Linked DNA regions of Oryzias latipes. The protein of the gene in region 3 interacts with the protein of the main gene of each other region in a pairwise test. Links are inferred from orthologs where the notes say so. Each region holds a gene or a part of one and is shown on either strand. Other genes may lie near its edges.

Region 1 (4,087 bases), on a different chromosome or scaffold from region 3:
ACGCTTGTCCTCCTGTCAGAGCAAGTTTCAAAATAAAAGAGCAAAATGAAAAAATAAACCTGAAAACCCCTGAGAGCGTTTTTCACAAAAGCACAGAAGCCGAGAGTGCAACATTTAATGACGAGAATTAAAGAAAAATACAGAAGAATTACACAGTTTAGGGTCTGCAGTTACGCTTTAGGTCTCAAATTGGACGCAAAACTTCTGAAAGTTCATAAATAAAAAGAGTAAATCAAGTGTGTCAAAGGATAAAAACTGGTTTAAGCTGAGTAAAAAAAAAAACGACACGAACCTCTCCAAAGGCACCAAAGTACTCTCGGACCTTCTCCTCTGGGGTGTCTGGAGACAAACCACCAACGAAGACTTTCTTCACCGGCTCCTTGCTCTTCATGGCCTTGGCTTTTTTAGGGTCGATGACTTTTCCGTTGAGTTTATGTTCCTTCTGTGACGCCACCTTCAGAACAGAAAGCAGCAAATACATAAATAAAACTCACTAAATGACACAACAACAACAAGAAAAAAATCAAAGCTGATGTAATAATTAGAAACAGAATATAGAAGGAAAATGTTGAGGCGTGTCTCCACAGAAATCTGCTGCTCATAACAACATCAAACGTAAAGAAATATTTCAAAAGGCTGACGTGTTCACTCATGAGTTTGTCTGAAATCTTCTGAATTTATTTGATAAATAATATTATTGCTTTTTTTCGCATGAAGGAAATGACTAAGCCTCCAAAATAAAAGACGAACTTGGAGCTGAAACAGTTAAATGTTAAACTGCTTCACTGATTTATTGTCAATTCAGTGTGATTCGAACAAATATGTATTTATTTCAAAAAAGTTGTGAAACAAACTTTTTTTAAATGAGTTAAGTTAATCTGCACGTATCTGTTGATTTAAACTGAACAAAGGTGAACGTTTTATGAATAAATTCTTGAATGTTTGAAATTCTTGAAAAATAAAAAATAAAAAGCTGCTTTTTAAAAAAGTCAAAACAGAAGACAGTGCTTACAAGAAAATTTCCTTGATCTGAGAGACATTTGATTAGATCAGACTGTTTTTTTCAACACCACCCCAGTAAAAACAACATTTAGGTATTGAACAGAATCGAACCTTTTCCACACTTTCGGCGTCTTTGAAGAGCACAAAGCCGAAGCCCCTGGAGCGTCCGGTCATGGGGTCCAGCTTTAATGTGCAGTCTACCACCTCCCCGAACTTTGCAAAGTAATCTTTCAGGTCTTTCTTCGTGGTGTCCCAGCTCAGGCCTCCAACAAACATCTTCCTGCCAGCAAAAAAACATTTGGAAGGAGATCCGTGGTATAAGTTTGTGTTTGTTGTGACCCAAGTCCTAACTATAAGAATCTTTCCTCGGGTTGCTGCTGGCATTTTCATTCATAAAATATAAAACGAGTGAACAGTGTGATGAAAGAAGTGAAACAGAAAGAACTGAAGAAAGCCTCTTTGTTTTTATATGACCCCGAAGAACCCACAGGGTCAAATTTGGCAGCTTTTCCTTTTTTTTAATTTATGTTTTTATGTAAATTATGTTTTTCTATTGTGTTTTTTAGCCACAGTTAATTGCTGCTCCCCGAAACAAACAAAGAAACTTTCAAATGAACTTCAAAGACCCACTAATGAAAAAGGTGTTTGGGGTATTTTTAGCATGTTCTTGTAGCATTTTTCTGATGATGGACGACATTTATGGTAAAATTAAGCTTAGACTGTGTTTCTGAGTATTTCTTTATTCAAATCGTTGTGCATCAGGGGCAGACGAAGAGTTTGAAAAAGATCATATTTGTGATGTAGAAAAAACACGCTGGGCGGGGCCACAACCTCCCTGCTCCTCTCCATTCTAATGCATCCACTTACATACAGACTAATAGATCCATCTGCAAAGCTTTGTTTTCCTCGTCTGAGCTGGAATCTGGATCTGAATTTGTTGCCCCGCTAATGGTAGCTTGGGGTTGTGAGAAGCCATAAGCTAGCAGGAGGGCTTGTGAATAGAGACCTCTCAGTTAGGGTGATGGGGGGGGGGGGGGGTCTGTGCCAATGGTCCCGCCCACAATTTAGAGGTGAATTTCTAATAAACTCCCGCCGCTCTGCAGAAACTAAGTCTTACAAAAAGACAGGTTTTTTTTATTTAGCTAAAACGGTATAATCCTAATCAAAATAAACGCCAATACATTTTTGGAACTCACCAAACGTTGCCGCAAATATAAAACAATTTGAAAATAACTACAACAAATGTGCGTCCATGGATCAACAGTGCCGTGGATAACCGTGCAGGAGCTTTCCCGGTCATCCGAGCTGTATGTCCCAGAAGTCTCTCTGGGAGTATGTTTGTATGAAAGGCTCCCCGCGCGGATAAACTTACCCTTCATCTTCTTCGTTTTTGCTGGCGTCGATCCTTGATCCCTCGGCCTCGTCCCCCATCAGGCCGCCATCCCCCTGAGCTGACATGGGGTCGTCATTGTTAGCCTCTCCATCCTCCTCCATCCTCATCATACTCGGGTCTTCGCTAAATTCATAATCCTCAGACATCTTCACTTTTTTCTCGAAAAGATCAAATGCTAGTTCTAATGAAATGATTTTCGGAAAAAAAAAAATCAAAAGTAATTTTGAGCCAAAAAAAATTCGATTTATTTTAAGCTAACAGCCAAGATAGTTGCTAGCTGCTAACAGATAACAAATAACAAAAGCCGATGTTCAAAAACAGGACGAGGCTAGCTCAACTTATTCGAAGTTATCTCAAAATTTAAATAGATAAAGAAAACGCCTTGATCTCTAAATATAATTTTCTTTCAGTTCTAATAATTTTAAAGGATATTTTTTCATCCGATATTTTAGTTTTCTTGCCAGTCGTTTCTTGTTTGTCTACTTCTGCGAATCCCAAGTGAGCATTTGAGTGCAGAGCGCCACCTGCTGCAGCGGAGATGTAACACCAGGGTAATTTGTAAATAATTGAATATTTTACATTTTTTAAAAGGGACTTTATTCAAATGAATTGTTCTCTTATTAATAAATAAATAAAGAGATTTGTTGTTTTAGTTTTGAGCCTAATTTTCCAAGATCCAATTATCTTCATCTTAAAAATCTTTAGATACAGTTCTAAATCTAAATATGAAAGACTTTTAGTATTGGACCTTTTTTTCTCTCCAAAATAATGGAAATGGTTTTAGGAGAAACCAATCAATCAATCAATACATACATACATAAATAAATAAAAAGCATGACCAACTCTATATTTGATTGTTTTGTTTAAAAATGCTAGGCAACAAAAACAAAAATAAAATTCTGAAATTGAAATGAAAGGAAAGGAAAACTGCTCAGCAAACGAGCAACCAGAAGAAAAACTTTATCAAAATCAAAAATCATACTAACACTGACACTCATGATGGCGCATCAGGGACACCATCAAAGAAGAAAAAAAGACATATGTATGAAAATAAAGTCATACAATTATTAAATAAAGTTAAAAGTTAGGAGCATTAGTTTGTACAACATGAGAACAAAGTCATACAGTTATGAAGAAAAATCTAATTTGTGAGAAGAAAGTTGTACAATTGTGAAAAATAATTCAACAATTTTCATATATAATGATAAACAAAGGCTTCAAAAAGTTGTAAAAAAATATTACATTTAGCTTTTAAAATGTGCAAAAAAACAGTTTTATACCTGATTTATCAAGAAATCTGTTTTTGTAACTGTATTTTTATGAATTTATAACTTTTATTTGACAAAAGCATGAAAAAACGTAAGTGGTTTATCAAAAATAGATGGTAATACTTATTATTTCTTGCAAAAATTGTTCTAATGCAACATATTGTGGTCTGTATTCGAAAATCTAGTGTGCATCGATCTGGTGTTGCACACTGGTTTTTCGCAGAGACTTCTGGGAAATTTGTAGGGCACTTGATTTTGGAATTTAAATGTGAATATTGGGCCATTCGATTTCGGAATAGATGCGGACAAAATGGCAAACGCACTATAGTGAGTAGTCGTCTTGTAATTCAATAGTTTGGTACTCATCACCAATTTCTGGTTTCCCCACTAAAATAAGTTTTACGACTCAACAGCGCCATCTCCC
Region 2 (4,389 bases), on a different chromosome or scaffold from region 3:
AAGCCTGTAACTTGCTCAAAATCTTTAGTTCATCTCTCCAAACTAAGTCTTTATGTCATTGAACATGTCAGTGCCATCAGAATGTCAAGTCCTTGTGTCATTGTCTACGAACAAGACAGTCAAATGACTTAGTCATGTTGTCAATATAACTGTGTACTTTAAAGGGAGGTTCTGATGGAAACTATGGCTAAAGTTTGGATGACAATTATTGTAAAATGGAAGTTACACCTTTTTTTTTTGATTGCAAGAGACTGGACAAGATTCACATTTACACTTTTATTGTTCATATTGTAATTTGTAGACAGACCATGTCATACCAACATAGAAAAAACCCACTGCAAACAGTAACACAAAGGGGAAAAAAGATAGGACAATATTCTGTCCAACAGTCCAGGCAGTGCAGTAGGAATTGGTGTGGTCTTCCTACACCTCTTGTCGTTCCTGTATGTTAGGCCACAAATTCTCATCCACATCACAGCGAATATCCTCTCTTGCAATGCAGCGAAATATGATTGTCACATTATGACAACTTGGTCAACCATTTTGCAGTTAATGACTTATACGATGAACTAATGACTAGGAGTTTTGAGGAGTAAGACTATTGCACAGTGAACTATATAATACATTTTGATCAACATGACATAAACAATTGATAATGTAGCAAAGAGCAGAGAATTGTACATAATCATTTGCATGGATGTACCAAAGCAATTGCAACTTGTTCAAAGAAGTGAGAAACTGCTTATATGATGTGCACAAGTGACATCATGATGTGAAGATTGAACAAATAGTTTTGGGAATTTCATTCTGATCTGACAATTGTACTAAAGCGACTGAAAAAAACTGTAATTGCTTAAACAAAAGTTTTCTTTTGCCAAATTGTGTGAAAGTGAGAAAATCGTTGAGTCCAAATCCCTTCACTATATAGTGCGTCTACAAATCTACATTTCAAAATCCAGGGCCCTAGAAATATCCCAGAAGTCTCTACGAAAAACCAGTGAGCATGGATAGATAGATAGAAAGATAGAAAGAAAGATAGATAGACAGACAGACAGACAGACAGACAGACAGACAGAGAGACAGACAGACAGACAGACAGACAGACAGACAGACAGACAGACAGACAGACAGACAGACAGACAGATAGATAGATAGATAGATAGATAGATAGATAGATAGATAGATAGATAGATAGATAGACTTTATTTAACAGTTTTTAATATTTTAACACATTTTGTTAAAATATTTTTATTTCATTTTTTTTATAAACCAGCAGTTTCATTATCATTACCCAGTGGATTCATAAATTGTCTTTTTAAAGTGTTTGTAGCATTTTTTTATAGTTTATTTTGGGAAAACGTTGGTAAATGTATAGTGAACAGGTCCTGTGGAGCCCATAAAATAGCCCTCACCCTCAGGAAGGTTAGTGATTCCTGCCCCAGATGGTGGTAAAAGGGGCAAAATGCAGAAAAAATGTCTCACGGGTAAAGCGGTATTTCCACCGTCTGTACAGTAGGTGGCGGTGTAGGCCTTCAACGCAGATTCAGATTAAATGTACGGAGGAAGAGAAGGAAGGACGGAGTAGAAGAAGAAACGGACTCTTCGCTGTAGATCGAAATGGCGGCGCCAGCAGAGAGGATGGAGGTGAGGTCTTTGAGCGGGAAAAACGCTCATTTGTGTTCGAGGAAACGTCCGCGAGTTTTCCCGCAGGCTCCGGAGCGGCGCTTCGCCGGTGTAGAGGGGGTGTTAGCGCTGGAGTTTCCGGATGCTGCCGCCGCTCATTCATCACAGTGTCGCATTTACGAGAAAAACAGGGGAAACGGTTAAACTCTTCAAACTGGCTTTTGTTTACGGTGGGGTCTGGTGTGTATTTTCGGTTCGACGCTGAAGCGACGGTGGGGGGGCGGCAGGCACGCAGCTGGCGGTGGAACCGGCAGAGCCTTCGGACCGCATGGAGACTAACGTGCTAGCTGCCGGGCTAATTAGCAGCTCGTGCTAACACGCTGATGCTGAGCTCGGATCCGCCGGACGTTAGTCTGCCAGAGTTTACGTTAAAACTCTCGATCAACGTGATCCACTACGGAGCTCCACGTGGGTCACTCCACCCGCGCGGTGCCGGTTTACCGGAAACCTGAACTAGCTTTTCTGTCGAGCCTGGAGTGGAAAACCGGCGAGCGGGTAGTCCCACTGTTTCATCCCGGACTAGACTAGAATCTTCGGTACCGGTTCTGCCGTCCTCTTGAGTGTCCCGGTCTCTGAGCTGGTCCAACAACAGAACCTTGTTCTGGAAGTTGGTCGTCACGTGTGGCTTTGTTACGACCGAACCGACGTTACCGGGTGGGGGTGGGGGGTAGGATAACTCTAACTTCCGGTGGTCTCATGGGGCATCGGGTCCACGTCCTTTGTTCCTCTGAGGCAGCGTTAACGGATCGGTTGTTTCTCTGTCTTCTGTGTTGCCTGGAACCGGACCGGCTCCTCGGCGGTTCCAGATCACGTGACTCCTTTGATCTGCAGACATTCATGGGGTTTTTCCTCCTTTGAGGTTTCTCAGGGAGAGAGCTCAGCCAAGCCTGCAGCTGAAGACATGACATCCAAGGACTACTACTTCGACTCCTACGCCCACTTTGGGATCCACGAGGTACGCCTTCGTGTCCCGTTAAACCTGCGGCCCCCGGTGCCCGCGTCCTCAATCGCCCTCTGCTCTGTTCCTGCAGGAGATGCTGAAGGACGAGGTCCGGACCCTGACCTACCGCAACTCCATGTTCTACAACAAGCACCTGTTCAAGGACAAGGTGGTGCTGGATGTGGGCAGCGGGACGGGCATCCTCTGCATGTTCGCGGCTAAAGCCGGAGCCAAGAAAGTCATCGGGGTAGGAAGGCGTGGACTCGGCTTGGCGGCGCCCGGTTGCGGCGCCTTGTCTCATCCGTGTGCTTCTGCCGTTACAGATAGAATGCAGCAGCATTTCTGACTACGCCGTCAAAATAGTGAAGGCCAACAACATGGATGACGGTGAGTCCACCGCCGTCCGGTGTTGACCGCTGAATGTGGAGGGAAGGTCCTGACCTCTTCTGTCTCTAGTTGTGACCATCATCAAGGGGAAGGTGGAGGAGGTGGAGCTGCCGGTGGACAAGGTCGACATCATCATATCGGAGTGGATGGGCTACTGTCTGTTCTACGAGTCCATGCTCAACACAGTCATCTACGCCCGCGACAAGTGGCTGGTGGGTGTCTCCTTCTGGACGTCAGCGCTTCCTCCAAACTAGTAACTGTAACCACTGACTGTATGTGAGACCTGGACTGAGGGAGCGGGACATGGAGCTGCATGGCATGAAGAAAATTAGCCACCAATATTGCAACAGACAAACAACAACAACAATATAATTGATATAATAATGAGATTTTTTAAAATAAGTCAACAAACTGTACTGCCAGTTCTGTCAATAGGAGATGGGTAAGCGGGTAAATGCCCCCATCTACCCGGTCAAGAACAGACTAGATAATTTGTGGTTGGGTGTGTTTTAAACATTTGTCTGACTGTGCATATGTGTCAACGTTTACGCCCTCTTTGCAATGCGGGATTGCTCAAGTTGATATGGCCATGTTGATTGTTTTTTGATTTTTTTTTTTGTGCAGGCCTAGAATTACGTCAAACGATAGAAAAGTTCAAAATTAAATTTTTTACGCTGCCATGTTGAAGCCAGACAATGTCAGTGAGCAATGATTGGTCTAAGTTGTTTCTATGACAACCAATCAGAAGAGAGCATGTTGGAAGGCCACACCCCTACCACTTAAAGTGGGCTACACGAAAATCTGTCAAACGTTTCTAACACAACCTACTTTTGAGGCTTCTGATTGGTCAGTTTATTGTTTGAACTACAGAAAAAATATTTAAATTATCAATAGATTGTTAGGAAAAGGCATCAGATCCAGAACGGTTCTTCTGACCAATAGAACACAGGACGAACAGCTGTCTGTTTCTCTATAGACGTCTATGGGACATTGGCTTCTTGGAGTCACTTCCTGTTTGGAATGCCAGAAGGGAGGGGTTACTCAGTCCAGTTCTCTGAAACAGTCAATGGTCTTAACAAAAGTACGACATTTCAATGATAAAAGTTTCTACCAAAGCTGAGCTGACGGCAAAGGTTGGCGGCTGGAATTCTGGGAATCCCTCAAAGATCCTCCTGGTGGCTCTAGAAAGGAGCTTCTGCTGTGAACACAGTCATGATCGGTTCATTGAAGATGTTTAAATGTAACCCCTGAGTGTGTTCCTAACACTCATGTCCCCCTCCCTCACAGAAGCCGGACGGACTCATTTTCCCTGACAGAGCTACTCTATACGTCACGGCCATTGAAGACCGGCAGTACAAGGACTACAAAATCCACTGTGA
Region 3 (3,496 bases):
CTTTTTCTGGTAGATCTTTGTTGGGAAGATTCCCAGGGACTTGTTTGAAGATGAGCTGGTTCCTCTCTTTGAGAAAGCTGGATCTATTTGGGACCTCAGGCTCATGATGGACCCCCTAAGCAGCCTTAACAGGGGTTATGCTTTTGTTACATTCTGCGCTAAAGAAGCAGCACAAGAGGCGGTCAAACTGGTGAGTTCATGGAGTTATTTTCAGACAAAAACTTTCATTTTCAAATTAAAATGGGCCGAACGGCCTGTTCCTGACCGTCATCCTGAAATGCCTTTTTACAGTGTAATAACTACGAGATCCGCCCCGGAAAGCACATCGGTGCGTGTATATCTGTCGCCAACAACAGGCTGTTCGTTGGCTCTATTCCCAAAAGTAAAACAAAGGAGCAGATTGTTGAAGAGTTTTCAAAAGTCACAGGTACGACCGGGGTTCCTGTCGGTACTTGAAGAACTTTCCTTAAATATAAATCTTGTGATTTATTTTGTTCTGAATCTTCTTTGTGTCCAGACGGCCTGAACGATGTGATCCTGTACCATCAGCCCGACGACAAAAAGAAGAACAGAGGCTTTTGTTTCCTGGAGTTTGAAGACCATAAAACAGCCGCTCAGGCACGGCGCAGGCTAATGAGTGGGAAGGTCAAGGTCTGGGGCATCCTGGTCACAGTGGAATGGGCTGATCCCATCGAGGATCCCGACCCAGAGGTCATGGCCAAGGTGAGCATCACCCTTTGAAAACCTGATGCTGAACTGAGAAACCCAATGCATGGAAACGCCTGCAGGCCTGTTCCTTTGCCCCCTTGGGGAAGGATGGGTTTGTTTGAATGTTATCTGGCCAAAGCGGTACTCTTCAAAAAGTGTTACTGCATGACAGAGTACTTAAAATGCTTAATGTCCTTATTTTTAACAGTCTGCAGTGCACCTCTGTTTTCACACACACAAGGAAACATATTTTACCTCTCATCGCCACGGCAACAGACTTTTTTCAGAGCAGTGCACATTATCCGTCGGGTAACTGTATTAGGATCTTCTGCTGTGAAGTACAGACAAAGCTGCGCTCGCTAGAGTAAAGCTCCACCCCCACAGCCTCACGCCTTCTCATAGGAGCCGCCCACAATCACTGGAAAGGCAATATTATTGGCTAGAGTTCAGTAAGACTGGAGAGTGATACGTGATATGAACGAAGCCCAGAAATCTGTTTTTAATGGTTCTGGTAATGCGGCACACGTTGGTACAAGGATGTCCTGACAGAAGGAAGCTGCACAGGTCTGATGGGAAAAGCGTTTCTCTATCTGTGTTGCAGGTGAAGGTTTTATTTGTGAGGAATCTCGCCAACAGCGTTACGGAGGAGATTCTTGAGAAGTCTTTCAGTGCGTTTGGAAAGCTGGAGCGAGTGAAGAAGCTGAAGGACTATGCCTTCATTCACTTTGAGGAGCGGGAAGGTGCAGTGAAGGTACACACTTTCATTCAGAACCAGAGCATTCTTTCTAAAAAACAACACAAAAGAATGGACCTAAAACTGACCAAACCTTCATTTAGGCCTTGGATGAAATGAACGGGAAAGAACTGGAGGGAGAGCCAATCGAGATCGTCTTTGCCAAACCGCCGGATCAGAAAAGAAAAGAACGCAAGGCTCAAAGGCAGGCAGCCAAAACACAAATGTATGAGCTGTTAAATCAGCAGGAAAGCCTTCCTCCTCCACAAATACTGACTTTATGCTTCTGATTTTTTTTCCTTTCTGTCAGATATGATGATTACTACTATTACCCTCCTGCTCCCCACGCGCCCCCTGCAAGAGGCCGGGGCCGAGGAGGCAACCGGGGTGGATACGGCTACCCCTCCGACTACTACAGCTATGATGACTACTATGACTACTACGGCTATGACTATCACAACTACCGCGGCGGCTACGAAGACCCCTATTACGGCTACGAAGACTTCCAGTCCCCGAGCCGAGGGCGCGGCAGCAGCAGGGGCGCCCGTGGCGGAACTTCACCGGCTCGAGGACGCGGCAGCGCCGGCGCGCCGAGGGGCAGGCCCAGCTTCCCCCCGCATGGAGGGCCTGGACCGAGCCGCGGAGGGCGGGGAGCGAGAGGAGGCGTGCAGCCGAGAGGGCGAGGAGGGGTACGTGGTGTTCGGGGTGGCCGCGGTGGAAATGTAGGAGGAAAGCGCAAAGCTGATGGGTACAACCAGCCAGATTCCAAGCGTCGCCAGACCAATAATCAGAACTGGGGCTCTCAACCCATTGCTCAGCAACCCCTCCAAGGTGGTGATCATGCTGGTAACTATTTTGGTTACAAATCTGACAACCAGGAGTTTTATCAGGATTCTTTTGGGCAACAGTGGAAGTAAACCAGTAAGGCTTTCATAAAAGGAAAGAATTTATCCTTTCTGCCTTGTTTTTTCTCATTTAGAGACTTGATCTAATTGGCCCTCTATTCCATTTTGTTGCCAGCTTTATTTTTTTGTTTTTTCCACTCAAAAGTTAGTGACACCTGGCAGGATATCTTTATGTATATATTTTATCGATCCGCTTGGACTCGATCTAGTCACTCTCACCTGCTTCTGGCAAACTGCATTTTTTTCCTTTGTTGTTTTTGTTTTTTTAAGGTGGTCGTAAAAGATTCTTCAAATCCAACTTTTCCAACATTTTTAGATGCGAAATGTGCTGAAGCTGTCTATTTGGCTGTAGCTTAATGTATGTTTTATAGAAATTCTGATTTTAATGTTTTAACTAGTTAAAATAAAAAAGCTACCAAGCTTCTGTCTCCTAAAAATGTATTTAATAAGAGTGAAATTACAATTTGTATTGTAAAAGTAATGCGTGTCTTGTTATTGAAAAGAAAAAAAAAAAAGGACAACCGTAGTCCTCATTTTTGGGCTTTACATTTTGGCTTGTATTCTTTGCTGTTTGTCTGCTTTAATAAACATACACGCACACGTGTACAAAAACTTCAAATTGTGTCGCAAATTCATGTTTCGGCAAATTCTCTTTTCAAATTTTCTTCAAATTTAAGGCTCCATGTGGAAGAAGGTGGACTGAAGGTTTGCCATTGTTGGCCATATGCTACAGTGTCACCTTGCATGCCATCCAGTTCCAAGTCACCTTCTGTAGTCGGCATCTCAGAGCTCTGTCTGTGTAGTGGCGTACCTCATGTCCCAAAACATCTCACTAATTGGTGTCCCAAATTCACTGTCAACGCAGCGACGTCAGAACGGCCTGGGGGGGGGGGGGGGGGGGGGCACAAAAGCACAATTGGATTGTAGCCTCAGACTGAAGCTTTTCCTGGTCCCAGAAGGAACTTTGCTGTTCACAGCGTGGAAACTAAACCTGCATGTTTATCTCCAGGTTTGGCGCCGGACTTGTGTTGGGAAGCAGCGCTTTGCATGCCTCCTCCCTGTAGATCTGATTTATGCCCTCATTCCTGCTTCACCCGTGTCTCTGCCATCTCAGCCTTTCCCCGCTGCTCCCTTAAAGTTTCCCGGCCAG

The links.
Region 1: the proteins of heterogeneous nuclear ribonucleoprotein Q (region 3) and heterogeneous nuclear ribonucleoprotein D0-like interact in binary tests that used the Homo sapiens proteins (3 or more experiments, as listed by UniProt). The link is inferred for Oryzias latipes from reciprocal best matches to the Homo sapiens genes SYNCRIP and HNRNPD.
Region 2: the proteins of heterogeneous nuclear ribonucleoprotein Q (region 3) and prmt1 interact in binary tests that used the Homo sapiens proteins (3 or more experiments, as listed by UniProt). The link is inferred for Oryzias latipes from reciprocal best matches to the Homo sapiens genes SYNCRIP and PRMT1.

The regions. Positions count from the first base shown.
Region 1 is NC_019870.2:2,825,230-2,829,316, forward strand, and holds the start of heterogeneous nuclear ribonucleoprotein D0-like, read right to left. Parts: upstream 2,903-4,087; 5' UTR 2,542-2,902; coding exon 2,375-2,541; intron 1,283-2,374; coding exon 1,114-1,282; intron 455-1,113; coding exon 293-454; intron 1-292. UniProt on the Homo sapiens protein: Binds with high affinity to RNA molecules that contain AU-rich elements (AREs) found within the 3'-UTR of many proto-oncogenes and cytokine mRNAs.
Region 2 is NC_019866.2:24,804,346-24,808,734, reverse strand, and holds the start of prmt1 (protein arginine N-methyltransferase 1), read left to right. Parts: upstream 1-1,521; 5' UTR 1,522-1,617; coding exon 1,618-1,644; intron 1,645-2,542; coding exon 2,543-2,638; intron 2,639-2,714; coding exon 2,715-2,870; intron 2,871-2,946; coding exon 2,947-3,010; intron 3,011-3,079; coding exon 3,080-3,222; intron 3,223-4,297; coding exon 4,298-4,385; intron 4,386-4,389. UniProt on the Homo sapiens protein: Arginine methyltransferase that methylates (mono and asymmetric dimethylation) the guanidino nitrogens of arginyl residues present in proteins such as ESR1, histone H2, H3 and H4, FMR1, ILF3, HNRNPA1, HNRNPD, NFATC2IP, SUPT5H, TAF15, EWS, HABP4, SERBP1, RBM15, FOXO1, CHTOP, MAP3K5/ASK1, MICU1 and NPRL2.
Region 3 is NC_019882.2:1,562,486-1,565,981, reverse strand, and holds part of heterogeneous nuclear ribonucleoprotein Q, read left to right. Parts: intron 1-13; coding exon 14-190; intron 191-291; coding exon 292-427; intron 428-517; coding exon 518-723; intron 724-1,309; coding exon 1,310-1,459; intron 1,460-1,545; coding exon 1,546-1,667; intron 1,668-1,751; coding exon 1,752-2,358; 3' UTR 2,359-3,496. UniProt on the Homo sapiens protein: Heterogenous nuclear ribonucleoprotein (hnRNP) implicated in mRNA processing mechanisms. Component of the CRD-mediated complex that promotes MYC mRNA stability.